Anolis sagrei: one gene and its partners. The protein of the gene in region 3 interacts with the protein of the main gene of each other region in a pairwise test. Links are inferred from orthologs where the notes say so. Each region holds a gene or a part of one and is shown on either strand. Other genes may lie near its edges. The genes, in order: PDGFRB, PRR13, KLHL12 and TTBK2.

Evidence for each region.
Region 1: the proteins of KLHL12 (region 3) and PDGFRB interact in binary tests that used the Homo sapiens proteins (3 or more experiments, as listed by UniProt). The two-hybrid records come from large-scale screens. The link is inferred for Anolis sagrei from reciprocal best matches to the Homo sapiens genes KLHL12 and PDGFRB.
Region 2: the proteins of KLHL12 (region 3) and PRR13 interact in binary tests that used the Homo sapiens proteins (3 or more experiments, as listed by UniProt). The two-hybrid records come from large-scale screens. The link is inferred for Anolis sagrei from reciprocal best matches to the Homo sapiens genes KLHL12 and PRR13.
Region 4: the proteins of KLHL12 (region 3) and TTBK2 interact in binary tests that used the Homo sapiens proteins (3 or more experiments, as listed by UniProt). The two-hybrid records come from large-scale screens. The link is inferred for Anolis sagrei from reciprocal best matches to the Homo sapiens genes KLHL12 and TTBK2.

The regions. Positions count from the first base shown.
Region 1 is NC_090022.1:85,965,975-85,973,004, reverse strand, and holds the start of PDGFRB (platelet-derived growth factor receptor beta), read right to left. Parts: upstream 3,021-7,030; 5' UTR 2,804-3,020; intron 1-2,803. UniProt on the Homo sapiens protein: Tyrosine-protein kinase that acts as a cell-surface receptor for homodimeric PDGFB and PDGFD and for heterodimers formed by PDGFA and PDGFB, and plays an essential role in the regulation of embryonic development, cell proliferation, survival, differentiation, chemotaxis and migration.
Region 2 is NC_090022.1:190,607,801-190,615,074, forward strand, and holds the start of PRR13 (proline-rich protein 13), read right to left. Parts: upstream 3,011-7,274; 5' UTR 2,900-3,010; intron 1-2,899. UniProt on the Homo sapiens protein: Negatively regulates TSP1 expression at the level of transcription. This down-regulation was shown to reduce taxane-induced apoptosis.
Region 3 is NC_090024.1:206,377,190-206,384,150, reverse strand, and holds the start of KLHL12 (kelch-like protein 12), read right to left. Parts: upstream 3,013-6,961; 5' UTR 2,759-3,012; intron 201-2,758; 5' UTR 144-200; coding exon 1-143. UniProt on the Homo sapiens protein: Substrate-specific adapter of a BCR (BTB-CUL3-RBX1) E3 ubiquitin ligase complex that acts as a negative regulator of Wnt signaling pathway and ER-Golgi transport.
Region 4 is NC_090021.1:286,669,450-286,676,507, reverse strand, and holds the start of TTBK2 (tau-tubulin kinase 2), read right to left. Parts: upstream 3,024-7,058; 5' UTR 2,717-3,023; intron 1-2,716.

The DNA of each region.
Region 1 (7,030 bases), on a different chromosome or scaffold from region 3:
AGGAATTTAGTGTCTAGATCCAGGGAAGTCATGTTGCCCCTCTATTGTGCCTTGGTCAGACCACACCTGGAATAATGTGTCCAATTCTGGGCACTGCAATTAAAGGGAGATGTTGACAAGCTGGAATGTGTCCAGAGGAGGGCGACTAAAATAATCAAGGGTCTGGAGAACAAGCCCTATGAGGAGTGGCTTAAAGAGCTGGGCATGTTAAGCCTGCAGAAGAGAAGGCCGAGAGAAAACGTGATGGCCATGTATAAACATGTGAGGGGACGTCATGGGGAGGCTTGTTTTCTGCTGCCCTGGAGACTAGTACGTGGAACAATGTCTTCAAATTACAGGAAAGAAGATTCCACCTGAACATTAGGAAGAGCTTCCTAATTGGAGAGCTATTCAGCCACGGAACTCCTTGCCCCAGAGTGTGGTGGAGGCTCCTTATTTTAAACGGAGGCTTGATGGCTATCTGTCAGGGGTACTTTGAATAAGATTTTCCTACTTCTTGGCAGGGGGTTGGACTGGATGGGCCACAAGGTCTCTTCCAGCTCTATGATTCTAAGTGCACAGGAGTCAAGGGCAACAACATCCTCAAGAATGACATGGAGGATGCCGAGAGCTCATCAGTGCTTTAGGTTCTTAATGCATATAACATGCTTTAGCAGTTTAGCTCAATGATCACCATAGCAACCTAAGTAAACAATAACTACCATAGTAAACTGAGGCAATATTGCTGTTGCAATATGACAGTGTGGACCTGGCATAAAAGGCGAAACTGTCCAGTGAGATGACAGTTGAGTAGAGAATCAAACTGAAGGTTCCTGGCAGATAGCTTTTTTTTTTTTTCTTAACCACTTTGTTACAGCAGTACTTCCTCTGGTAGTTTGGGTCTGGAAAAAGAGACACAAAGTATGGCAACAGTAGCCAATGTCTCTTATTGTACAATGGATATAGCTTTCATGCTGTGAGAAACATTAATGTGTGTTTTACCATCCTGTGGGAGGCTTCTCTCATGTGCCCACATGACAAGCTGGGGCTGACAGACAGGAGCTCACCCCACTCCCCTAAAAGAATAGAAAGAAGAAAGGAGGATCAGGCTGCAGGTAGTTTGAAAAACCTGAGCCTCAGACTCTGGACAGCTACTTAGGCAGACAAATACAGTGAGTCCTTGGTATCTGCTGGGGATTGCTTCCAGAACTCCATTTGGGTACCAAAATCCATGGATGCTCATGTCCCATGATATACAGTGGCATGGTACAATGGTGTCCCTTATATAAAATGGTAAACCAAGGTTTGCTTTTGAAATTTTAAAAATATTTTCAAGCTATTCAAGATGGAATCTGAGGATAAAGAATCCATGGATACAGATAGCCAACTGTAGTGCAACTGTAGTATTGAGTAGCTTCCTGCATTTCCAATGTATATTATGTGACCAGCAGCATTGATGGATAAGACTGAACAACCCCTGTTCAATGTATTGTCGAAGGTTTTCATGGCTGGAATCACTGGATTGCTGTGAGTTTTCCAGTCTGGATGGCCATGTTCCAGAAGCATTGTCTCCTGATGTTTCACCCACATCTATGCTCAGAGGTTGTGAGGTCTTTTGGAAACTAAGAAATTGGGGTTTATATATCTGTGGAACATTCAGGGTGGGAGAAAGAACTCTTGTCTGTTGGAAATTGTGTGATTAAAAACCATGAAAATGAACAAAATCTGGCTACTAGTATTTTTAAAAAACTCTAACATCAGGACAGTAAATAAAGAACACCACTCAGAAAACAGAGGAATTCTGGACATGAATCTATAAGGGGCAGCTAACACCTCCCAACAAAGGATTCCCCCAGGCAGCAACCACCCAAGCATTGAACCTGCAAGGCTATTGAATGCTAATCAAGATGGCCAATTGCAGCACTCACACTTGCCTCAAACAGACAAGAGTTCTTTCTCCCATCCTGGACATCCCACAGATATCTAAACCCCAATTGCCTAGTTTCGAACAGACATCACAACTTCTGAGGATGCCTGCCATAGATGTGGGTGAAACGTCAGGAGAGAATGCTCCTGGAACATGGTCATACAGCCTGGAAAACTCACAGCAACCCAACCATTGTGACTGTGTGAAAGTAGCCTTTCTGATGAAGATGGGGTTTCTTTAGTAGCTCTGAAGTTTTGTGCTTTAGAAAGCTGTTCTCCCATACCAGGATGATGAGTGTTACCTGTTCAATAATCGGTCAAAAACAGCCCTCCCTCACCCCCTAGAGGTGCTGGGTTATGATGCCCATGGTCTCTAGAGGGAGATGCCAGGCTCTTCCTCTCCAGCCCTTGCCAGAAGCCACAGGCTGCCTGCCCAGCCTCCTCCTCCTGATCTTTTCCGGAGCCTAGAGGATGCTCGGGACCATCCCTTGGTATCAACGCTCCCCTGGCTTCTTGGAGGGCCATTTCAGAAGCAAGGGTGGCAAGGCAGGGAGAGGAAGCCCCAGTCCAGCTCTATTCGGCTATAACATCAAGAGAGCTTGGGCAAGTCCCTTCAGAACCGGCCCCAGACCCAGCCAAAGCTCTTGTAGCCCCTTCACCATGCGGCGCCTTTAGGAAAGGGGCGCGAGGGAGCCAAAGCCCCCCAAACAAGCCCGAAGGAAGGTCCAAAGGCGTGCAGGCAAAGGAAAGTGGCCAGGTTTCGCCTCTTGGAAGCTGCCCTGGAAAAGGAAGGGCGCTGCGGGCTCGCGCTCTCCACATCTGGATTTGTTCAAAAGAGTTTCCATTTGCAGCTCTGGCTCTCCGGCTGGAAAAGCAAAGGGGACCGGAGGGGGCTTACCTGGCTCTCCCACACTAGGGAGGGGGCACCGCTTGGCCCCACAGGGCGCCCTGGGCTTCCGCGAGGCTCCTTCGCCCGGCTCCCTCGGAAGTGTCTCCGGAGGCAAGCCCCACCAGCCTGGACTTCAGCTCAGCTGGGCAGCCCTTTCCAAACTCAGGAGGAGGAGGAGGAGGGAGCCAGCCGGGCGCTTGCCTCCTGCTCCCGGCCCAGAGAGGGGGGGGGGAGGGAGGCGGGAGGCGGGGCGGAGGGCCAAAGGGGGCGGGGAGGCAGGCAAGGAGGGGAGGAAGCCAGGAAGGGGTCTCCCGCTGCCTCCCGAGGCAGTCAGCCCGGCCTTCTCGCGCCCCCTCCGAGCACGCGCTCCGCATCTTTGGGCTCAGCGGCAGCAGGAGCAGCAGCAGCAGCCCTTCCCTCGCCTGCCACGGCGCCCCGAGCGCACGGATGGAGAGCGGCTTCTCTTTTGAAACCCTGCTCGGCTCCAACATTTGTTTGGACAATTTGGGGACAGAGAAAAGAAAGCTGGCCTCTTGGCCCTTTGTTGGTTTCCATTGGGGGAAGTTCTGAGGAAGCCCCAAACACCCAGACTTGGGGGCGGGGGGCGGGGATGAAGGAGAGCTCCCTTGAAAAACCCAGCTCCTTCCTTCCTTCCTCCTTCCTTCCTTCCTTCCTTCCTTCCTTCCTTCCTTCCTTCCTTCCTTCCCTTCCTGCCCCATCCTTCCCCTCCCTCCCTCCCTTCCCCTTCCTTCCCTTTTTCCTTCCTTCCTTCCTTACTTCTTTACTTCCCCTCCCTCCCTTTCTTCCCTTCCCCTCCCTCCCTTCCTTTCTTCCCCTCCCTTCCCTTTCTTTCCCTTTTTCCTTCCTTCCTTCTTTCCTTTCTTCCTACCCCTCCTTTCCTTCCTTCCCTTCCCTCCTTTTTACTCCGTTCCTTCCCCTTCCTTCCCTCTTTCCCCTCTCTCCCTTCCTTCCTTCCTTCCTTCCTTCCTTCCTTCCTTCAGACTCAGCCAAACAAATACAAGAGGAACCCAAAGTTTGGCCAAGACGTTTCCCCTCGGGGCGGCTGCCCCCCCTCCCCCCCGTGTGTGTGTGTGAGAAGGCGCCTGCTTTCCCCTCTTGCTTTCTTTCTCCTTTCCCCTCCTCCCTGCCAGCCAATCTGCCTGCCTGCCTTCTCCCCTTTCCCAGGATATGAGGGGATGTGCCGAGAATCCGCTGCCCACGCCAGGCGCTGACTCATGTTTTTATTAAAGAAAGGAGGCCGGGGCCTTCCATCCACGCCGCGGATCCAAAGCCCCGCGGCCCCCTCCTTGACACCCGGGGAAACGCCAAGGGGCAAAGCAGGAGGGCGGCTGGGGGTCCTGCCACTGGAGGCCTTATCGCCAGGGAGGAGGAGGAGGAGGAGGAGGAGGAGGGTGACTGGCTGACTCCGAGGAGCTTCGTCTGCTGGGCGGAGCCGCTGTTTACCAGCGCCTTTCTTTTGGGAACAATGGCAGGGTGGACAGGCCCGAGTGGGACGGGGGTGTGCGTTGCGCCTCGGCCTTGCCCGTTTCCCTTCGGCAGGAGGAGGGCGTGAGCAGGCTCTGTCTCCAGCCCAGCTGCGAGGCCCAAGGAACATAACAGGCCACTCGCGGGCTGAATCCCCTCCAAAGGAAATCTTAGTTCTGCAGAAGAAGTGCAAAGCAAAACCCCAAGGAGGAGGCCAGGCCCCTCTTCCACTTGAGCGTTTATATGGAGCAATGGGCAGCATTGGCTCCCTTGAATTTCTTTTGACTGCAACTCCCATCACCTTTCATCATTGGCTAGGCTGGGTGGGAGTTGTAGTCTAGATGTAACTAGAGCAGGGGCGTCTAACCCATTTTCACCAAGGGCCACATCAGCCATAAGGCCGCCTTCAAAGGGTTGGTTGTAATCTCAAGACTATACATGTAACAGTGTTGCCCTGGCATTGAATGCCTTACAGGCCACATAAAATGACTCTGCAGCCTGGATTTGACCCAGGAGCCTTGTGTTTGACACACAGTGATCTTGAATCTAACCAGTCCTAAAGAACTTGTTCTAAATTGGCATGGGCAAACTTCAACCATCCAGGTGTTTTGGATGTCAACTCCCAGAAATCCCGGCCAGTATACCAGCTCTTAGGAATTGTGGGACTTGAAGTCCAAAACACCTGGAGGGCTGAGCTTTGTTATGCCTGGAACAGGTATGGTGAACAGTTGACCCTCATTACCCACTGAGTCAGCCACCCACAGCTTGAAATTTAAAAGAAAACCCAAAGCCAACCTTCATTTTACCATTTTATATAAGGAACACTTTTTTTTTTACTATGCCATTATATATAATGGGACTGGGTTATCCATCAGTTTGGAAATCCACATGGGCCCTGGAAGCAAACCTCGGCTTATATTAAGATCCCACGGTACTGCCCTATTTGAAAAGTTAAAGAAAACTTCTAAAATGAAAACCAGTACCACAACTTCGCTTCAATATGATATGCATTTATTGTGTTTGCATTTGACAAATCTCAGTGGAATCCACAACAAAACCATAGCTGTGACACCTTTGCTGCCCCCTGGATTTGGAATCTAAGTGTCACATTTTGAGGGAGGGGGGGAGGGAAGGTCACAAAGTCCTTTATTTTGTATTACAGATGAAGGAAGTATTACTGCTTGAGGGAATGTATGAACTGCTTTAAAGTTTTTTCAGGGATCCCTTTTGTGATCTTTTAGACATTTTACTCCATGTTTGAGATATTATTAAGGTAAGCAGCTTATTTATCAAACCTGGGGACGTATAGAACTGATTTCAAAAAACAAATGAGGAACTTTGTTGCCCACATGGGAGACAAAGATTTCTCTGGAAGAAGTGCCTCCCTTTGGTTTGAGTAATGACAATGGAAGATAACGATGCTGGGGGAAATGAAAGGAAAAAGGAAGAGGGACCAACCAAGAGCAAGATGGATGGTTGATATCCTTGAAGTAACTGGTTTGGAAGGGCTGTAGAAGAACATGAAAACTTGAGAGGTATAATTAGCAAAATTTATAAGATACTAATTGAAATGAAGGATGAAAAAATAAAAAAGTGTACCCTTGAGATTTGGGAAGAGGATTTAGGGATGAAAATAAGTGAAACAGAGTGGCAACAGTTATGGGGACAAAGACATTTTAAAAAATTATCGATACGAGTTAAAGAAAATTATTACAAGTTAATATGGAAGTGGTACTTGACACCGGTAAGAATAGCATATATGAATAAAAATAACTCAATAAATTGTTGGAGAGGGTGTCAAGAACCAGGAACATATATACACATGTGGTGGCAATGTAAATATGTAAATAATTTTTGGGAGAAAGTATTTAGAGAAATAGAAACTATAATGAATATGAAAATAGATAAAAGTCCTAGTATAGCCTTACTATCATTATATAACAATAAGCAATTGAAAAAGGAAGATAAAGAAGCGATAACAAACTTACTAACTATAGCAAGACTGCTCATAGCAAGGAATTGGAAAAAAGAAATGAATATACAAATAGAGGAGTGGTATAAAGAAGCATGGAAAATAGCAATAAATGATAAATTGACATGTATATTAAAGGTTTAAAAAGGTACATGGAAACAAAGCGATTTTGATGCTGTATGGGGAAGATTTGTGGTAAATGGATTAAAAAATAAGGAAGGAAAATTACCATCACAAGAAGAAATGAAATTTTGGACAGATGAAATGTAAGAATGGTGGCTTGAGACGGGTGGAGGGGAGCACTGTGGTGATAAAAAGGAAAAAAAGAGAAAGGGGGGGGGGGGGAAATGCCAAAGCAAAACAATAAAACAACATGTTAAAGAGGCTGATGTACAAAATGCAATAGTATGTAATAAATGTGAAAAATCAATAAAAAATATTTTAAAAAAAGAAGTAACTGGTTTGGCCTTGAAGGAGCTGGGGGTGGCAATGGCTGACAGGGAGCTCTGGTCCAGGAGGTCACAAAGACTTGGAAGCGACTGAATGAATAAACAACAAAGACAATGGCAATGGAAGATCACACTCAGGGAGGAAGACTTTATGCTAACCAAAGGTGGATGTTTTGTTTTTCCAAGGTTTTTTTTTTTACTGCATCCAGATAAATCTACCTAGTTTGAGTGCAACCATGTTTTGCTTCATACAGCAAATCCCATCCTAGCTCTGACAATATACATAGACACTTTCTGAGGAATTCACTGCTTTCTTCTTGCAATACGAGT
Region 2 (7,274 bases), on a different chromosome or scaffold from region 3:
GGTATATGGAGGTAGGTGCAATGTGCAGATAATCCTGAGTCTCTAGCAAAGTGCAATTGGGACTTGAAACCAGGAGTTTCCTATTCTGGAAAGGCACACTGAAACAGCCAGGTCTTCAGGCTCTTCCTAAAGACAGCCAACGTTGGGGCTTGTCTGATGTCTTTGGGGAGAGAGTTCCCGAGTCGGGGGGCTACCACAGAGAAGGCCCTGTCCCTCATTCCCACCAAACGCGCCTGCGACGCAGGTGGGATCGAGAGCAGAGCCTCTCCAGATGATTGAAGGGAACGTGCGGGTTCGTAAACGGAGATGCGGTCATGCAGGTAGGCAGGTCCCAAACCGTTTAGGGCTTTGTAAGTGAGCACCTGCACCTTGAATTGGGATCGGAAAATGAACGGCAGCAGTAATACTACTGTAATACTACTGTAGTAATACTACTGTAGTGCAAATAGCACTAGTAGTACAGTAATACTACTGTAGTGCAAATAGCAATCAAGCTATAATCCAACCATCCAATATATAAGACAACAAGCTGGATTCAAATCCTAGATCCATAACTGAGCTGTCAGAAAATGCCTTTTATATTCAGAGTTCAATTTTCCCATCTGTACAATAGGAACAATTAAGATTGGCCCTCCGATCTCCCAAAATGTGTGGAATTAAGCAACAAATCTTGCTGGAACATTCACTTTTTCCATCTTTATTCCAGACAAACGCATCCTTCAGCATAGAACACTTGACCAGCACCTGTACTCTCAGTCTCTCTTAGTTTATCTGCTTATCTAACATATTCAAACACTCTGAGAAAAGTCTGGACATTGAAGAAAAGTAACAGCAGCAAATTAAACCCATTTGAATGTGGGGCTGGAGAAGAGTTCTGCAGATATGGTGGACTGCTAAGAAGTCCCATAAATGGGTGCCCAAGAGCATATCAATGGGTGCCCATATCTCAATCTCTTCGAGGTTGAGATATGCTCTTGGGCACCATAAATGGGTGCCCAAGAGCATATCTCAACCTCGAAGAGAACTCAAGGCGGCTTTACATATAGGCAACTATTCAATGCTTTAAAACATACAAATAATATAAACATTTAAATTATGAATATAAACTAATGCACATCAAAACATTTAGAAAACATTTTATTCACTGTTGAAAACCATACCATCGACAATCATTAATCTGGGGCCATTCCAGTAGTCATTGCACATAATCTGTATCTATTATTACATTACAATTATTCTCCGAAGGCTTGATCTCAAAGCCACATTTTCACTTTCCTTCTGAAGGCCAGGAGGGAGGGGGCTGATCTAATGTTGCTGGGGAGTTCCACAGCCAAGGAGCCACCACGGAGAAGGCCCTGTCCCCACCAGTCGCACCTGCAAAGGAGGCAGGATTGAGAGCAGGGCCTCCCCAGAAGAGTTCAATACTGAATGCTCCCTAGAAACTAAGGCCCCTTCCACACCGCTGAATAAAATCCCACATTTTCTGCTTTGGACTGGGATACATGGAAGGGTGGACTCAGAGAATCCAGTTCAAAACAGATATTGGGGATTGTCTACTTTGATATTCTGAGTTATACGGCTGTATGAAAGGGCCCTGAGTCCACAGTGCCATATATTCCAGTTCAAAGCAGATATTATGGGATTGTCTACCTTGATATTCTGGGTTATATGGCTGTGTGGAAGAGCCCCAAGACAACTAAACTGAAGCTGTCATATTTTAGCCCTGTCATGACATGGAGCCCCCAATGGCACAGAGGGTTCAACCCCTGTGCTGGTAGGATTGAAGACCAACAGGTCGCAGGTCCGAATCTGGGGAGAGAGCATATGAGCTCCCTCTATCAGCTCCAGCTCCTCTTGCGGGGACACAAGAGAAGCCTCCCACAAGAATGATAAAACATCAAAACATCAGGGTGTCCCCTGGGCAACGTCCTTGCAGACGGCCAATTCTCTCACACCAGAAGCGACTTGCAGTTTCTCAAGTAGCTCCTGACACGACCAAAAAAAAGGGGGGGGGGACATGGCTCACCAGAAAATAAGACAATACTGACTGGTAAGTTAGAAGTCAGATGGAAAATAAGATCACACTACAGATGGATAGGTTCACTTATGGAAGCCAAAGCCTTGAGTCAGTGAGAGCGACTGTTCAGTGCTACTGGAAGACTCTCACCCATAGGTTCACTATAAGCCAAAGTTTACTTAAAAGCAATCGACAACAAAAAGGGCCACACTTTAATAACACTATGTAACAACATTTGATTTTTACCCCTGTTCCTGATTTCATAGAATCATAGAATTGGAAGAGACCTCATGGGCTATCCAGTCCAACCCCCTGCCGAGAAGCAGGAAAATCACATTCAAAGCATCCCCAACAGATGGCCATCCAGCTACTGTTTAAAAGCCTCCAAAGAAGGAGCCTCCACCACACCAAATATTAATTCCTGTTTAATTGTGCGGTACTTACTTTGAAAGTAGTTGTTATACTCCAGAAACTTTGTTTTTGTGGCTGCCACAAACTATGTTCAATTGGTTAGGACTCGATGAAATAGTCATTGAAAAGCTATAGCAAAAATGTGCGGCAGGATGTCCACCATAAACAAAGTTTTTGCATTTAAATAAACTTTCCTCATGTTTTTATGATAGAGTCAATTAGGAAATGACATTTATAACCCAGAGACAAAAATCGTGTTACAAGCCAGGCAGTGCAGGGAGACACTGCGTCTTCAACACAGAAACAGGATATTTGATGGTGATGATTATGATACTCATTGATATTCCCTCCTTTCTCCATACAGGAGGGCTCAAGGAGGCTAACAACATGTTTTCAACTATACAAATGAAAAACAATACAAAAGCCAGAGTTTATATACGTCTGATTAAAAGTGTATACTGTAATACATACAATTACACCTGATCACAAGAGCACCCACCTGCCTCCCTTCAGCCCTTTCTGTTCCTGCTTCTTCACTCTCTGCAACTCTGAAGCCTCCACTTCCTGGAACCTGATTCTATCTCCACCTCTTTCATTCCCATTGGCTTGCGGCTCTCAACGCCCTCTTCCTATAGGCTAAGGAAGATGTCCATCAACAGTTATGCTTCAAAGAGCTGAGAAATGGGGTGTGTGTAAAGGAGACGTCATAGATTTTGTGTTGATAAATACAGACTGAGACTTTGGTTAAGACAGAAGTTAAGCTGTATCAACACTGCAAAAATTAAATTGCCATGGTTCAATGCTATGGGATTTATAGTTTTACAGGGTTTTAGCCTTCTCTGATCAAAAGTTTTGGGGCCTCCTCAAACTACAACACCCAGGACTCCATAGCATTGAGCTATGGAAGTTAAGTTGGTATCAAGTTGTGTTAATTCCACGATGTAGATGCACCCCTAAACTTTTATGGGTGGTTGGGTTTTGTAGATGTTTCTCAAGCTTCAGAACTACACTTTTGGAAAGCAGGGCCATTTAAGGCCATTTAGTGAGCTCCCGCTGTTAGCCCCAGCTTCTGCCAACCTAGCAGTTCAAAAACATGCAAATGTGAGTAGCTTAATAGGTACTGCTTCTGCAGAAAGGTAACAGCACTCCATGTAGCAGTTCAAAAACATGTAAATGTGAGTAGCTCAATAGGTACTTCTTCTGTGGAAAGGTAACAGTGCTCCATGTATCCATGCTGGCCACATGACCTTGGAGGTGTCTATGGACAACGCTGGCTCTTTGGTCCAGAAATGGAGATGAGCATCACCCGCTAGAGTCGGATACAACTAGACTTAATGTCAGGGGAAACTTTTACCTTTTTAAAAGCTAGCTTCAAACTGCAGCAATCAGGCAATAAACTCCACAAAAGGACTTGAAAGAAATTCTTTCATGAGCATCACTGGTCTGTTATATAATCACCATCTGGGCTACAAACCCATTCTAGGACTTTATATGTAATCATCTACACAACCAAACCACTTTCTTCAATATCGGTTTGGAACTGCATTAATAGAGAAATAAAGCAATACTGTTGTGTATTGTCGAAGGCTTTCATGGCTGGACTCACTGGGTTGTTGTAGGTTTTTTCGGGCTATATGGCCATGTTCTAGAGGTATTCTCTCCTGACGTTTTGCCTGCATCTATGGCAAGCATCCTCAGAGGATGCTTGCCATAGATGCAGGCGAAATGTCAGGAGAGAATGCCTCTAGAACATGGCCATATAGCCCGAAAAAACCTACAGCAACCCAATATTATTGTGTGTTGAAGTAGGGATTTGCAGCAGGTGTGTCGTTTCTCCTGAACAGGCTGACTGGCTTATTATGAAAACAAAGTCCATATCAAAAGGCGGAGCTGATGAACAAAGGGACACGGTATTTATTTAGTACACTAGCAGAGTTTGCATTGGAACAAGCGAAACCAGAGGGAGAGAGAGAGAAATAGGAGTGCCACCAAGAATTAAAAGAAGTTGAACGACTGCATGCCTGTTCTACAAGGTTGACTTCAAAAACCAACAATGTTTTGGAAGAAATGCAGAACCATTTATCTGAAATCAGTCCTGCTTAAATCTGACAAATTGTGTGGGTTCAACATGATATAGCAGGATAGTGATAAAAAAGAATGGATGACATCTCTGACCGAGCACAGGCTAAAGACACTATTAGGGCTTACTCCACGGCTCGGCGGGCAGCCGAGAAAACCTTCTCGACTGCCCACATAGTGTCTGCAGCCAATAGGCCATCAGAGTTGTTCTGGGTTGTTGGGGACACCCTCCACCCACCTGAGGTGAAGGACATCCCTGATGACACGGCAACTCGGTGCAGCGATTTCACGCACTATTTTGCAGGCAAAGTCGCTCGGATACGTCTCGAGCTGGACTCCAATTTAAATGCAATGCCAAATGAGGTAACCGAGGCTCCCGTCTGTCCGATCTTATGGGATTCTTTTTGTCTTATTTTGCCTGATGACATTGACGGGATCCTGGGGGCTGTGAGGGCAACCACTTGTGCTCTGGACCCTTGCCCTTCCTGGCTAGTTAAATTGGCAAAGGGTGGGTTGTTGGACTGGTTTATCTCCATCATCAATGCATCATTGGGATGGGAAATTCCCATCCTGCCTTAAGCAGACAGTGGTAAAATTACTGAAAAAGACTTCCCTTGACCCATCCATGCTGAATAACTACAGACCAATTTCTAACCTCCCTTTTTTGGGCAAAGTGCTGGAGCGGGTGGTTGCCTCGCAGCTCCAGGGGTTCCTAGATGACACCGATTTTCTAGATCGATCACAGTCTGGTTTCAGACCCAGGCACAGTACCGAGATGGCTTTGGTCACTCTGGTGGATGACCTCCACAGGGAACTGGACAGGGAGAGTGTGACCCTGCTGATTCTCTTGGATATCTCAGCAGCTTTCGATACCATCGACCATAGTATCCTTCTGGGTCGGCTTTCCGGAATAGGACTTGGGGGCACGGTTTTACTGTGGCTTCGGTCCTTTCTGGAGGGTCGTTCCCAGATGGTAAAACTGGGTGACACCTTCTCGGACCCCTGGCCATTGACCTGTGGGGTCTTGCAAGGCTCCATTCTGTCTCCCATGCTTTTTACCATCTATATGAAACCACTGGGAGAGGTCATCCGGAGTTTTGGAGTTGGGTGCCATCTCTATGCGGATGACGCCCAGCTCCACTACTCTTTCCCACCGAATCCAAGGAAGCCCCTCGGATGCTGGACCAGTGCCTGGCTGCTGTATCAACCTGGATGAGGGCAAACAAGCTGAAGATCAATCCCGACAAGACACCCAATATACTTGACCAGGGTATTGGGTGGCAACCTGTGCTGGACGGGGTTGCACTCCCCCTGAAGGCGCAGATCCACAGCTTGGGGGTCCTCCTGGACTCAGCACTGATGTTTGATGCGCAGGTGTCAGTGGTGGCTGGGAGGGCCTTTGCACAATTAAAACTCGTGCGCCAGCTGCAACCATACCTTGCGAAGTCTGACTTTACCATGATGGTCCACGCCTTAGTTACCTCTAGATTGGACTATTGCAATGCACTCTACGTGGGGCTTCCCTTGAAGACAGCCCGGAAAATTCAATTGGTTCAATGCTCGGCAGCCAGAATTCTAACGGGGGCAAATTACAGAGAGCAGTCAATCGTCCTGTTTAAGGAGCTCCACTGGCTGTCGTTCATCTTCCGGTAACAATTCAAGAAAGTGTTATGTCGTCATGGACAAATCATAGTGCTTGCATGGGGCCATTCTTTTTTTTGTCTGTGAAGTATATTTGGCTTGTTGGAAAAGAGATTTGTATGTTGCAAAGTCACTCAGATACGTCTTTGCACTATATTTGTATTAATACCTGGAAGCCATTGCGCCATCAAGGTTACTGCTAAAAAAAACCCACCCCGGGCTCTTTGCTCCTGATTTTCAATTAGCTTCCCAGGAAAAAAAAACCTTTGAATTTCTAGCAACACTGATGCTGTGACTTTGATACAGCTCAGGAAATCTTTTGGTTTTAGTTGCTCCCTTGCTACATGGTGTCCAAAAATAAGAGCACAATCGCAATATAAATTTAAACCTATTTGAAAATTATATAACTATCATGAGCCCCATCCACAAACCATAAAAATGGTTGCCTAACTCACGTCATTAGTCTCAGATAGACCCATTGAGTGAGTTGGATCTGTTAACTCTATAGGTTTGCTATAATTCGGGCTAGCAAGTGAATTTCCAATTTCATGTTGGGGATGACGTTTATCCAAAAAAAAAAAAAAAAACAAAGCAAAAAACCCTCCAGCCATATCAAGTTTCCTGTCTGTTTCTCTCTGTGAAGTTACAGAGATAGTGCAGAAAAGGATTGGAGAGGCTGACCAGATTTAGAAGTGTATCTACATCAACCAGATAAATCTAACTTTGTAGCATCCTGGAACATTTTGGCTATCCATAAAGCCGATCAGTCCCAAGAATGCATTGGGGCTGTCAGTGCATCGCTATCAGCAGGCAGCTTCCTCTCAGAATGAAGGGACACACACTTAAGGTCACATTGCTTGGCACCAGAAATGACATCACAATGGCATCAACAGCAAGCCTCCGGGATGGAGCTGCTTGCTGGTGGCAAGCAGCCATCAGCTTGTCAAAAAATAGCTGGTCAAAGCTTTGAAACTGTGGGATCAATCCATGTTCTGTTGATGTGGATTAACATCTGGATGCAGTGATTGTACTGTAACTCCAGCTATGTGCCATAGGAGCTCAGTAATGAGTCCTTTTTTATTTTGGCCATGTAGATATGGCCTAAGCCAGCAGATTTTAGAAATAA
Region 3 (6,961 bases):
GCTAGCACAATCCGATGGGCTGGAAAGTATTTTTGTTCCACACGAAGGGTCACATCACATAACGTGTTACTTTTTCGCAGAGAATTCATTGCATTGAGAATGGATTTGGCATGAGAATTAGTCATTATATCTTTAGGAGCCATAGTGAGTTACTCCAGCCAACAAGAGAGCTGTGGAGGCAGGTTCAACGTATCAGTAACCTGTGGGATAAAAACATCTGTTTACTGATGAACACAAGGCCAAATTTAACAAAGTCTAAAGATGAAGAATGAGGAACTTTGTCTCTCCTGTACATATCTATAAATTAGCTTGTAGATCATTCTGCTCTAGCCATTTTCATGCAAACTCTTCTATTCAGTTACATTGCAATATACCTCAAAATAATCAACTATTAAATATTGGCTTATTATCAAATGTGCAGTAGGTGCACTGTAGGACACCAACACAATACAAAGCCACAGACTGAGATAATACAAACATCAGATGTAAGGACAAGATGTAATAAAGGTGGATCAGTGACAGTGCAGGGAGATGGAGCGAGGAAAATTCAGAAGTTGCCTAGGTTAGACATACATTTCTATTACTTTTAAATCTTCCTATTATACTGTGTGTGTATACATACATACATACACACACATATGGTATATATAATTTTAGTATATTAGTTGTAAGGTTAACAAAAGATGCATTCGAATTTTCAAAATACAGTTGGCCATTAGTTTCCATGGATTCAACCATCTAAAACTTGAAAATATTTTTTAAATCAAGTGTCTGATGTATCTGAGGGCATCTAGGGTGCATCTATACCGGGGCAAAATTCAGCCCTCCAGGCGTTTTGGACTTCAATTTGTCTGGTTGTTAGGAATTGTGGGAGTTGAAGACCAAATCAACTGGAGGTTGAAATTTGCCCATGCCTAATCTATACTGTAGAATTAATGCTGTTTGGCACTATTTTAACTGTCCTGGTTCACATGGATGACTGAGTGTCATATCCTCATGAAGCCAGAAAAGCTGGAATGTAAAATTACCTCTGTGTCTATATATGTTGCATGTCTAAATGGGATTAAATGTTTGCCATGTATATGTGCATTGTAATCTGCCCTGAGTCCCCTGCGGGGTGAGAAGGGTGGAATATAAATACTGTAAATAAATAAATAAATATTTGCTTTCTGATGGTTCAATGAATACAATCCATGTTTCATACACATTATTAAAAACACTGTGCACAAAATTACCTCCAGGCTACTTCTCTCTCTATATATATGGTGTATATATAACATGAATTAGTTTAATGTTTAGACTCCACGAATACTCAGTAGGGATGTAAATACATGGTGGACCAAAGGTCACAAGTTAAACATTTAATAATGCCTTCATTATTTTGGCTTTAATATACACCCCATTGGGAGTGTATACCCCATGGGGAGATAGGGTGGGATAAAAAAAAAGTAAAGGTTTCCCCTTGACATTAAGCCTAGTCGTGTCCGTCTCTGGGGGGTGGTGATCATCTCTATTCCTACACCAAAGAGCTGGTGTTGTCTGTAGAAGTCTCCAAGGTCATGTGGTCAGTATTACTGCATGGAGCGCTGTTACCTTCCAGCCAGGGCGGTACCTATTGATCTACTCATACTTGCATGTTTTCAAACTGCTAGGTTGGCAGAAGCTGGGGCTAACAGTGGGAGATCATCCCGCTCCATGGATTCGAACTGCTGACCTTTCGGTCAGCAAGTTCAACAACTCAGCGGTTTAACCTGCTGTACCACTGGGGGCTCCAAAAGCAGGATATAAATATTTATTTATTTAAGACATTTGTATCCCGCCTATATCAGCCTGAGGGTGACTCAGGGTGGCGTACAAGTTGGCAACAATTAGATGCCATGTATTAAAAAATACATACATATGTAAAAGCAAAACATCACAATACATTTAAAAACTATAAAAACCAATGATTAATAAAAATTATATAAACTGTCTTCTTGTTCAAATCCTCAACCGTTCCATTATCTTAGTTGTTCCCTAGTTCATTTCCAATATGAGTTTTTGGTCATGCTGTGGTTCCAAACGCTTGCTCACTCTTTTTTGAAAGGTCAGGAGGGAAGGGGCTGATCTAATATCCCTAGGCAGGGAGTTCCACAGCTCAGGAGCCACCACAGAGAAGGCCTTTTTTTTTTACACAACATCATATACAGTGCTGAGTGTTTCAAAAAGAGGGACCCAATTCGTAATCGCTGTTATCTCTGCAGCCACAAATTAAACCCTTATCCCTTGTAACGGTGGGGTATAGAGTTTCAAATGATGATTACTAGAACCCAAACATCCCACTGCATAGTGTAGATCAGGCATGGGCCAACTTGAGCCCTCCCTCCAGGTGTTTTGGACTTCTACTCCCACCATTGAGGAAGGGGAGGAAGGTGAAGGTCTTGTAAAATGACAACTACAGTTCACCAGAATCTAAAGCAAGCACGGGCAAACTTGGGCCTTCCCTCCAGGTGTTTTGGACTTCAGCTCCCACAATTCCTAACAGCCTCGGGCCCTTTCCTTTCGAGGGGGGAAAGGAAGGGGCCTGAGGCTGTTAGGAATGGTGGGAGTTGAAGTCCAAAACACCTGGAAAGAGGGCTCAAGTTGGCCCATGACTAGTGTAGAGGAATTCAGGTACATTGAAACGGAATACTTTGTTTTCCAATAGGGAATGCCTTCAGTGACAAAGGCCTGATAACACTAGACAGGCCGCCAAGTGGGGCTGTGTTCCTTCCTTTACCTGGCGTTCCCTCCTGGGGGGCGGCCCAGAGGCCTGGCTCCCGGCTCAGCCTCCTCGGGCGGCAAGGGGCCGGCCGGGCCGCCTCTCCGCCTCCCAGCAGGCCCTCCGCCCGTGCCGTCGGCCGCGCCCTCCCCGCGGGGAGGGGAGGGGAGAGGAGGGGAGAGAGTCCCGGCTCCTGCGGCCCGCCCGTCCCGCTCCTTCCTTCTCCTCCTCTTCCTTTGCCGCCGCATCAGGCGCGCCTGGATGACGTCAGCCGCGAGGACGCCGCTCCTTGGTTTCAACCTGCGCGAAGAGAAGCCTCGCCGCCTAGCGGCTGAATGGGCGAAAAGGCGCGTCGCGGGCGGAGGGATTCGGCTTCCTTGTGGTTGCCAAGCAACAGGGAGTTTCTACGTTTCGGCCTCCGCGTTGTGATAAAGTCCCTCAGTCAAGCAGAAGTCAAGGGAGATGGAGCAGTGCTTGCTCTCTGGGGTCCCTCCCACACCTGAATAAAACCCCACATTATCTACTATGAACTGGATTATATGAGTCTACACTGCCCTCTAATCCAGTTCAACAAGTTAAACCTGAGCCAACAATGTGATGTGGCGGCAAAAAAAGCCAATGGGATTTTGGCCTGCATCAATAGGGGCATAGTGTCTAGATCTAGGGAAATAACCCCTCTATTCTGCCTTGGTTAGACCACACCTGGAATATTGTGTCCAATTCTGGGCACCACAATTCAAGAGAGATATTGACAAGCTGGAATGTGTCCAGAGGAGGGCAACTAAAATGATCAAGTGTCTGGAGAACAAGCCCTATGAGGAGCGGCTTAAGGAGCCGGGCATGTTTAGCCTGAAGAAGAGAAGGCTGAGAGGAGATATGATAGCCATGTATAAATATGTGAGAGGAAGCCACAGGGAGGAGGGAGCAAGCTTGTTTTCTGCTTCCTTGGAGACTAGGATGCGGAACAATGGCTTCAAACTATAAGAAAGGAGATTCCATCTGAACATGAGGAAGAACCTCCTGACTGTGAGAGCCGTTCAGCAGTGGAACTCTGTGTGGTGGAGGCTCCTTTGGAAGCTTTTAAACAGAGGCTGGATGGCCATCTGTCAGGGTTGATTTGAATGCAATATTCCTGCTTCTTGGCAGGGGGTTGGATTGGATGGCCCATGAGGTCTCTTCCAACCCTTTGATTCTATGATTCTATGAAAACAACTAATCTGCATTTTATATGGCAGTATAGAAGGGGCCTTAGCTCAGGGGTTTCAGGGCCCTTCCAGACGGCCATATCACCCAGAATATCAAGGCAGATAATCCACAGTATCTGCTTTGCACTGGGTTATCTGAGTCCACACTGCCATATAATCCAGTTCAGTGTGGATTTTATACAGCTGTGTGGAAGGGGCCTCAAACTCATTCTCATTGAAGGCGCCATCTGCCTGATAGTTGACTTCAAAGGGCTGAATCTGCCAATACAGAGGGGCAACTATAACTTTTTTAAAGTGCTCTTTAAGTTTGATCCAATGTTAAATGACTGGAATCCCTGGTGGCGCAGTGGGTTCGAATCCGGGGAGAGGTGGATGAGCTCCCTCTGTCAGCTCCAGCTCTTCATGTGGGGACATGAGAGAAGCCTCCCACAAGGATGATAAAAACATCAAATCATCCGGGCGTCCCCTGGGTAACGTCCTTGCAGATGGCCAATTCTCTCACACCAGAAGCGACTTGCAGTTTCTCAAGTCGCTCCTGACATGACAAAAAAAAGTTAAACTATTTTATTTTTTTAATAAATTTTTATTAAATACATAGATACATAAATACATAGATAGAGGGAGAACAATATATAGCGGATAGTGCAGTAGGAAAAATACAGGGGTGCCCTGTTATTGGCGATACTCCCAAGGGATGTAGGGTGGGGAGGTAGGTAGGGAAGGGGTCGGATGAAGATGGGGCAGGGGTAGAGGGGGGGTGGGTGGGCTATAGGGTAGTTAAAAACTTTGAGCTTCCATCTCTTCAATGAGGATTTTCTATAAATATTTTCAGTTTAGCTTCTTTAATGCTTCTTCCTTTCTTGCGACACTGGATTTGTGATTTACTCTTTTGTGATTTTATTTATTTATTTATTTTTATTTTTAATAAATGATGTCTATTTTCAATTTCTTAAGGAAGACCTTTACTAAGCCCCAGTTCGTAGGTTTACTTGGGATGCCATGGTTTGGTGTTACCCAATATGTCAGTTCATCCATGGTCATTATATCAAGGATTTTATTGATCCAGTCTTCTCTTTGAGGGGCTTCTCTCTGTTTCCATTTTTTAGCGAATTCGATCCGTGCTGCTGTAATTAAGTAATGGAATAATTTGTCATTATTTTTTTCCTCCTTAATGTCATACATTCCCAGGAGAAAGAATTCTGGTTTGTTTTCTATTTGTATTCCTAAGATCTTTTGAATATCTTTTTGAATCATTGTCCAGTATCTTTTGGCTATGGGGCAAGACCACCAGATGTGGAAGAAAGTCCCAATCTGGTGTTCGCACTTCCAACATTTGTTTGAGGTGTTTTTATAACATTTTGAAATGATTTGAGGAGTCAGGTACCACCGATGGATCATTTTGACAAGATTTTCTTTTAATTCATATGAGTAGGTTAATTTCATTCTTTGGTTCCAAACTTTCTCCCATTTATTCAGTTCAATTTGGTGGCCTATGTTTTGGGCCCACTTGATCATTGAGTTTTTTACTTGTTCCATTTCAGTGGTCCACTCTAGTAATTTTTTGTAGAGTTTTGTGATAAGTTTGTTGTTTGTCTTCAATATGCTGTCCAGGAAACCATTTTGATCAGCAAATTCTGCGATTTTGTCTATCTTGTAGCTATCAACCAGTTGTCTATAGTTTAGCCAAGAGAGGTTAGGAAAGATTTCTTTTATTTTCCTTTCATCTTTAAGTACATATTTTCCTTCTGCCTTTTCTAGGATGTCGCGATAAGTAGGCCATTGTTGCCAGCCCATTTCTCTCCGGTGAAGGGCTTCTAGGGACGAGAGCCACAGTGGAGTTTTATTATATAGTCTTTTTTTGTGTCTCTCCCATATTTTCATTAGGCCTGCTCTTATATAATGATTGTTAAAGTTCCTTTCGATCTTTGTTTTATCGTAGTGCAGATAGGCGTGCCAGCCTCGCCTGAGGTCTACACCTTCTAGGGAAAGTAGGTTTTTGTTTGTTAATAGGATCCAATCTCTGATCCATATCAGACCGCAGGCTTCATAATAACACCTCAAGTCTGGGAGGCCGGGGCCGCCTCTTCTTTTGTCATCGATAAGTATCAGACGCTTGATCCTGGGCTTTTTCCCTTGCCATACAAATTTGGAGATGGTTTTGTTCCATTGCTTGAAGATGTTTACATTTCTGATTACTGGTAGGGACTGAAAAGAGAATAGCATCTTGGGCAAGATGTTCATCTTTATTATAGAGATTCTCCCTAGCAGAGACAGCTTCAGATTTTTCCAATTGTCTAGATCCTTCTGTACTTCTTTCCATATCTTTTCATAATTGTTTTTTATTAGTTGGGAGTTTTTAGCTGTTAACGTTATTCCCAAGTATCGTATTTTCTCTACTACTTTAAATTCTGTTAGGGTGGAAAGCTCTTCCTTTCTTTTCTGGGACATATTTTTAGTTAGTATCTCCGTCTTTCTTTTATTTATCCTTAGGCCCGCTACTGACCCGTACTCTTTAATTTTAGTTATCCATTTGGAGATTGTTTCTATGGGGTTGCTGATGATACACAACAAGTCGTCCGCGAAAGCCCTTAGTTTATATCTTTCCTTATTTATTTTGATGCCTCTTAAGTCAGGATCCTCTCTGATAGAATTAAGAAGGGTTTCTAAGCTCAGGATGAATAATAGAGGCGACAGGGGGCATCCTTGTCTCGTGCCTTTACAGATTTTCAGGGGGCTTGATTCTTGCATGTTTATTATCATCCTGGCTTCTTGGGAGTTATAGATTGAATTGATGGCATTATGGAACTGATATCCTAAGTCTAGTTCTTTGATTAGTAATTTTAAGTAATTCCAATTGAGATTATCGAACGCCTTTTCGGCGTCAAGACTTAGTAGTGCTAGTTCTTCTTGGTTGTTCTTCTCGAGGTATTCTATGGTGTTTAGAATAATCCTAATATTGTCTTTTAATTGCCTGTTAGGCAAAAAACCTGCTTGTTCCTCTTTCACCCATTCTTTC
Region 4 (7,058 bases), on a different chromosome or scaffold from region 3:
TATTTTAAAATAACTTTAAATAAATAGCCATCCCCTCTAGCAGATTTCTTTTAACCCTCAATGCTGGCAGATATTAAATACGCCTGGCACTGAACCATACCTGTGCTTTTAAAAGTGCTGTAAGTCTATGTGTCTGTATTTATATCTTCATGTAACTGCTAATGGCAACAGCAATGTTTAGCCACAATCTCCATCTGTCTCCATGCTAGAGCATATTCGCATGAATAAAAGAAACACAGGCATATCAACATTAACAGTTTTATGACTCAAACTGGCTGAATATCCCTTGTTTGAAATGTTTCATATATGCCTTCTAAACATAGGCTGAAAGTAATTTCATATAATTTTTAAAATAATTTTGGTGCCGGGAACAATGTTTATGTACATTTAATCAACAGAAAAGAAAAAGTGGTACTATCAAATAAATAAATCTCATGACAAATACTCAAAAACTAGGGAATTCCAGACAATAAACAATCAGGGCCAGCTAATCACTTCCCAACAAAGGATTCCTTCAGGCAGGAGCAGCCAAGTTTTGAAGCTGCAAGGCTATTCAATACTAATCAAAGTGATCAATTGCAGCATTCGCACTTGCCTTAACAAATAAGAGTTCTTTCTCCCACCCTGGGCATTTCACATATATATAAACTCCGCTTGCCTATTCTCCAACAAACCTCACAACCTCTGAGGATGGCTGTAATAGATGCAGGTGAAATGTCAAGCGAGATTGCTTCTGGAACATGGCCATACAGCCCGGAAATCTAACAGCAACCCAATTCTGGAGTACTTTTTATTTAGAAATTCCGGTTAAGGGATGCTCAATTTGATTACTTTGGATTTCAGACTCCCAGTTACAGGATTGCTAGTTCTGGATTGTTTGGGATTTCTGGTTCGGGGCTGGTAAATTCTGGAGTATTTGGTATTGCAAAGTATTCCTGAATTTGTTTTGAAAAAAATCTGCGTTTGTATTGCAAAATCTGGGTTAAGGGATGCTCAACCTGCCATTGCCCTTCCTCTAAGTTCTTGCCAATAGTCTGTCCCTGCAATGACCTTAGGAGAAGGAAGAAGCAAACCCAGCTTTCATGGCCGAAATCACTGGGTTGCTATAAGTTTTCGGAGCTGTACGGCTGTGTTCCAGAAGCATTCTCTCCTGACGTTTCGCCTGCATCTATGGCAGGCATCCTCAGAGGTTGTGAGGTCTCCTGGGAACTAGGAAAATGGGGTTTATATATCTGTGTAATGTCCAGGATGGGAGAAAGAACTCTTGTCTGTTTGAGGTAGGTGCTAGTTAATCTCCTCCCAGCAAAGAATTCCCCCAGGCTGTAAGAAGCCAGGCCTTGAAACTGCTTGACCATTTAATGCTAATCAAGGTGGCCAATTGAAACATTCCCATCTACAGGTTGTTGTAGGTTTTTTTGGACTATATGGCCATGTTCTAGAAAATGGCCATATAGCCCAAAAAAACCTACAACAACCCAGTGATTCCGGCCATGGAAGCCATCGACAACACATTCACACCTACCTCGAACAGACAAGAGTCCTTTCTCCCACCTTGGATATTCCACAAATATATAAACCTCACTTGCTTCGTTTCCAACAGCCTTCACAACCTCTGAGGATGCCTGCCACAGATGCAGGCGAAACGTCAGGATAGAATGCTTCTGGAACATGGCCATATAGCCCGAAAAAACCTACAACAACCCAGTGATTCTGGCCATGAAGGCCTTCGACAATACATTCACACCTACCTCAAACAGATAAGAGTTCTTTCTCTCACTTTGGATATTCTACAGATATATAAACCTCAGTTTCTAACAGCCCTCACAACCTGTGAGTATGCTTGCCACAGATGCAGGCCAAACGTCAGGAGAGAATGCTTCTGGAACATGGCCATATAGCCCAAAATAACCTACAACAACCCAGTGATTCCGGCCATGACGATACTTTCACACCTACCTCGAACAGACAAGAGTTCTTTCTCCCACCTTGGATATTCCACAGATATACAAACCTCACTTGCCTAAGTTTCCAATAGCCCTCACAATCTGTGAGGATGCCTGCCACAGATGCAGGCAAAACGTCAGGAGAGAATGCTTCTGGAACATGGCCATATAGCCCGAAAAAACCTACAACAACCCAGTGATTCTGGCCATGAAAGCCTTCAACAATACATTCACACCTACCTCGAACAGGCAAGAGTTCTTTCTCCCACCTTGGATATTCCACAGATATATAAACCTCACTTGCTTAGTTTCCAACAGCCTTCACAACCTCTGACGATGCCTGCCATAGATGCAGGCGAAACGTCAGGAGAGAATGCTTCTGGAACATGGCCATACAGCCTGGAAAATTCACAGCAACCCACTATCTTTTTCTCAAGACAACACCATCCCATCTTCTGCCTCCTTGGGATGGGTCCGCCAAGAACAAACAAAAACACCCTGTATCTATCAGGAACCTCAACAACAATACAGAAGGAGGAGATGATTTGGGATGGTTTTTGTGGGGGTTTTTAAAATGCCGCATCCCCGCCCCCTTCAGTAAAGCCAGAATAATAGCCGGGTGCGGAGACAAGAGGATGGTGATGATGAGGCGAGGCTGAAGGTGATCCTTCGCTCTCTCTCCCTCCGCCTCTTCCTCCTCTTCCTCCTCCCCCGAAACGCAGCATCCCCCCAAAGCCTTCTCGAGCTAGGCCCACTCCTCCATCTCTTCTCACCTGGAACGCGGCCGTTCCTCTGAGGCGATGAGGGGGAATCAAAGCGAGGGAGAGAGAAAGGAAGGTAGGGAGGAAGGTGGGGCGTCTTAGCCCTGCGGCGCCGGGCTCCTGTGGGCCATGGCTTCGGAGGAAGCCGTCATCGCCGCCGTCTCTATGGCGACTGCGGGGCCTGGCCTGACTCCGAGGCCTGGAAGAGCCAACGGGCGGAGAAAGAAGGCAGGCAGGCGGGCAGGCAGGGAGTCCGTCAGCGGCGCTCCTCCTCCTCCTCCCGCTGCTGCTGCTGCCCCGGCCTCGGCCTCCTCCTCCCCCGGCAGCCTCCCTCCCGCAGCCGCAGCTCCGCCGCCAGCCCCCGCCTTCCCCCCTCGCCCTCCATCCAAGCGCCTTCCCCTCTCGCGCTCCAACAGCCTTCTCCCGCCCGCCCTCCTTTCGTCCTGCGACGGGATTGGCTTGGAGGCGAGGCTCTCACTAACGGATTGGAGGAAGGCCCCTGCCAATCATTCTGGCGCGCGGCCGTAGCTTAGAAACGCCGCCGTTGCTTATGAGGCTGCTGAGGGGAGAAGCGGGGGGGGGGGGGGGGAGAGACACACAGAGAGAAAGGCATTCTGGGAATTGTTGTTTTGCCTCAGAATCTTGTCAGAATGGTTGTATTTATTTTTCTCCAAAAGGGATTCAGACCCAGTTTTCTGCGTCACGGGTCCTGACGTGCTTGGTCTTCTGATTCAAAGCGGTCTTATTCTTTTTGAACATTGAAGTCTCCTTCCAGTTTAAAAGGGTGACACTCCTCCTCACAAAATAATCCTCTTCTCCAGGGATCCAAATGGTGAAGGTGTCATCCACATTTCTGAACCATAGAGTGGGCTTTTTTGTTGCTGTTTCCAGGGCTTGTTTTTCAAAGTGTGCCATGTAGAAATTAGCTATGATCAGACTGAGAGGGCTCCCCATAGCTACTCCATTTGGAACCATGGAGAAGAAGAACTGAAAGGTTCCTGGACCATCTTAACAACATCCACCCAAACATCCAGTTCACCATGGAAAAAGAAAATTAAGGAAGACTGCCTTTTCTAGATGTCCTAGTCATCCGCCAACCAGATCAGCAGAACAGCATCCACCCAAACATCCAATTCACCATGATACCAAAGGAGAGACTCCCCCCTGGGCACACAGAAAACTGGGCAACTTGGAAGGCGCTGAACAGATTGCGCTCTGGCACCACGAGATGCAGAGCTAACCTTCAGAAATGGGGCTACAAAGTGGGATCCTCGACATGCGAGTGTGGAGAAGAGCAAACCACTGACCACCTGCTGCAATGCAACCTGAGCTCTGCTACATGCACAATGGAGGACCTTCTTGCAGCAACACCAGAGGCACTCCAAGTGGCCAGATACTGGTCAAAGGACATTTAACCAACTACCAAACTCACAAATTTTGTATTTTGTCTGTTTGTTTGCTTTGTTCTGTTAGAAATGTAATATAAATGACTGGTTGCCCTAACACGACAAATAAATAACCATGGAGAAAGAAAATGAAGGAAGACTGCCTTTTCTAGATGTCCTAGTCATCCGCAAACCAGATCAACAATGAGGTCACACCGTTTACAGAAAACCCACACACACAGATAGATATCTACATAAAAACGCCAACCATCACCCGAGTCAAAAAAGAAGCACCATTAAAGCCTTGAACTGAACCACCTCAACTGGGCTCTACAGGCCAATGGATACTCCACCTCAGACATCAGAAGAGCTGCAAGACCGAGAACAAGCCACAAGAGTAAATACGAAGATCCTCCTGAGCGCCTGGGCCAATCACTGGGCTTCTGCCTCAGGAGAGAGGGAGGCGGGATGAGAGGGAAACAATGGATTCTTGAGATGATTATGGAGGTAGGAAATGTCCAAGCGGCCAGCGAGTCCTGGGACCTGTGAGCCAGCCATTCCTATTGTCATTGAGTGGCTGCAATAAACGTAATCCGGATTTTTCCATTACTGAGAGACAGGAACAATGAGGTGGCTGTGGTTTCAGTGGATAAAAATTGAATCAGTAACAGATTAGGACAAGGTGTGGCTTTCCGAAGGCTTCCTTTGTCCTATTGAGATATGATCATAAATGCCAAGTGACCACTTCCTCTGGGGGGCCAACTCCGAGGCCAGAGGTCATGATCCTTTGTTATTGTCCATGCAAAAAGTGTCTTTTGATAAGAGTCTTTTTCAACTGGAGATTTCCTTCTTTCCAGGGTCACGCAGGGGCGGCTGCCTTGTATTTTTATACATTTTTCAATAAAGGGGAATTGGGAAAAAGGGTCAGGAAAAGGTCATATACACAGGGAGGAATATAGAAATATAGAAATCACGATATAGAAAACATACCCACTTATCCTTCCCACTAGAGTCCCATAGAAGTTCAAGGGAGCACATAAGTATAAAGGGAGGTGGTTTCTCAGTAATAAATGTGCTACCTTCTGCTATATATGAAACATAGGGCATAAAACCTTGGTTAAATGTACACACTATCTAACATGGGAAGGGTCCTTGTTGTTGTTAGTGTCTTGGCAAATTGACCAAGGCTTAAACCTTATTATCTAGTCTGGTGTCCTTGTCCTTAGCAAAACTATAAGTTACTATCTTTGGGGGGGGGGGGTCATGTTCGACTTCACGTGGACACAGCATATTATTTGAGAACACAGAAATGCTGGACCACTCTTAACAACCACCATGTCAGACTACACAGAGAAGCCATTGAAATCCACAAGCATGTGGACAATTTCAACAGAAAGGGGGAAACCATAAAAATGAACAAAATCTGGCTACCAGTATTAAAAAAAGCTCTAAACTTACAACAGCAAAACAACAGAGGGGAAACAATCAGGCACATCTAATCACCTCTCAACAAAAGATTGCCCCAGGCACTGCCAGGCCATCAGATGCTAATCAAGGTGGTCAGTTGAAACATTCACACCTAGCTCCAACAGACAAGAGTCCTTTGCCCCACCCTGGTCATTCCACAGATATATAAACCCACTTTCCTAGTTCCAATAGACCTCACTACCTCTTAGGATGCTTGCCATAGATGCAGGCGAAACATCAGGAGAAAATGCCTCTACAACATGGCCATATAGCCCGAAAAAACCTACAACAACCCATTCAAGTTTCCTTCCTGTTTAAAAGGGTCGCACTCCTCTCTTCCCCCTCACAAAATAATTCCATCTTTTGTAGATGGGGGCAAAGGAAAACATCACGTTCAGGTATGTAACAGCTGAGGGAAACAGGTTTGGAATAAAAAGGGTAACCAGCAAATCGCCTGGGATCACAATGATAGGGAAATCTGTAGTCCTTCAAAAGACACATCAAGTGATAGGAATTATTGGGGTTAAAAATAGAAATGCTACATCTTCCCCTGTATTTTTAGAGGGGAAATTATGTAACTGAATAAATCTCAACAACCGTGCCTTTTCATAGAATTTTATACACAAAAGAAGGCTTTTAAGCAAAATAAAAGTAATTAGTTGTGTTACAAAAAGAAAGCAGGGTTACTGTCAGTTTTTTGGGCTGTATGGCCATGTTCCAGAAAGCATTCTCTCCTGACATTTCACCTGCATCTATGGCAGGCACCCTCAAAGGTTGTGAGGTTTGTTGGAGACTTTGTTGTTGTTGTTCATTCATTCAGTCGCTTCCGACTCTTCATGACCTCATGGACAAGCCCACGCCAGAGCTCCCTGTCGGCCGTCACCACCCCCAGCTCCTTCAAGGTCAAGCCAGTCACTTCAAGGCTACCATCCATCCATCTTGCCCTTGGTCGGCCCCTCTTCCTTTTTTCTTCCATTTCCCCCAGCATAATTGTCTTCTCTAAGCTTTGCTGTCTCCTCATTTTGTGGCTAAAATACTTCAACTTTGTCTCTAATATCCTTCCCTCCAGTGAGCAGTTGGGCTTTATTTCCTGGAGGATGGACTGGTTGGATCTTCTCGTGGTCCAAGGCACTCCCAGAACTTTCCTCCAACACCACAGTTCAAAAGCATCTATCTTCCTTCGCTCAGCCTTCTCTATGTTCCAGCTCTCACTACGGGGAATACCATTGCTTGTTGGAGTGACTACGGGGAATACCATTGCTTGTTGGAGACTAGGCAAGCGGTATTTATGCATCTCTGAAATGTCCAAGGTGGGAGAAAGAACTCTTGTCTGTTAAAGGCAAGTTTGAATGCTGTAATTGATCACCTTGATTAGCAATTAATAGCCTTGCAGCTTCAAAGCTTGGCTGCTTCCTGCCTATCTTCTGAGGATGCCTGCCAATAAATGCACGAGAAATGTCAGTAGAGAATGCTTTCTGGAATGTGGTCATACAGCCTGGAAA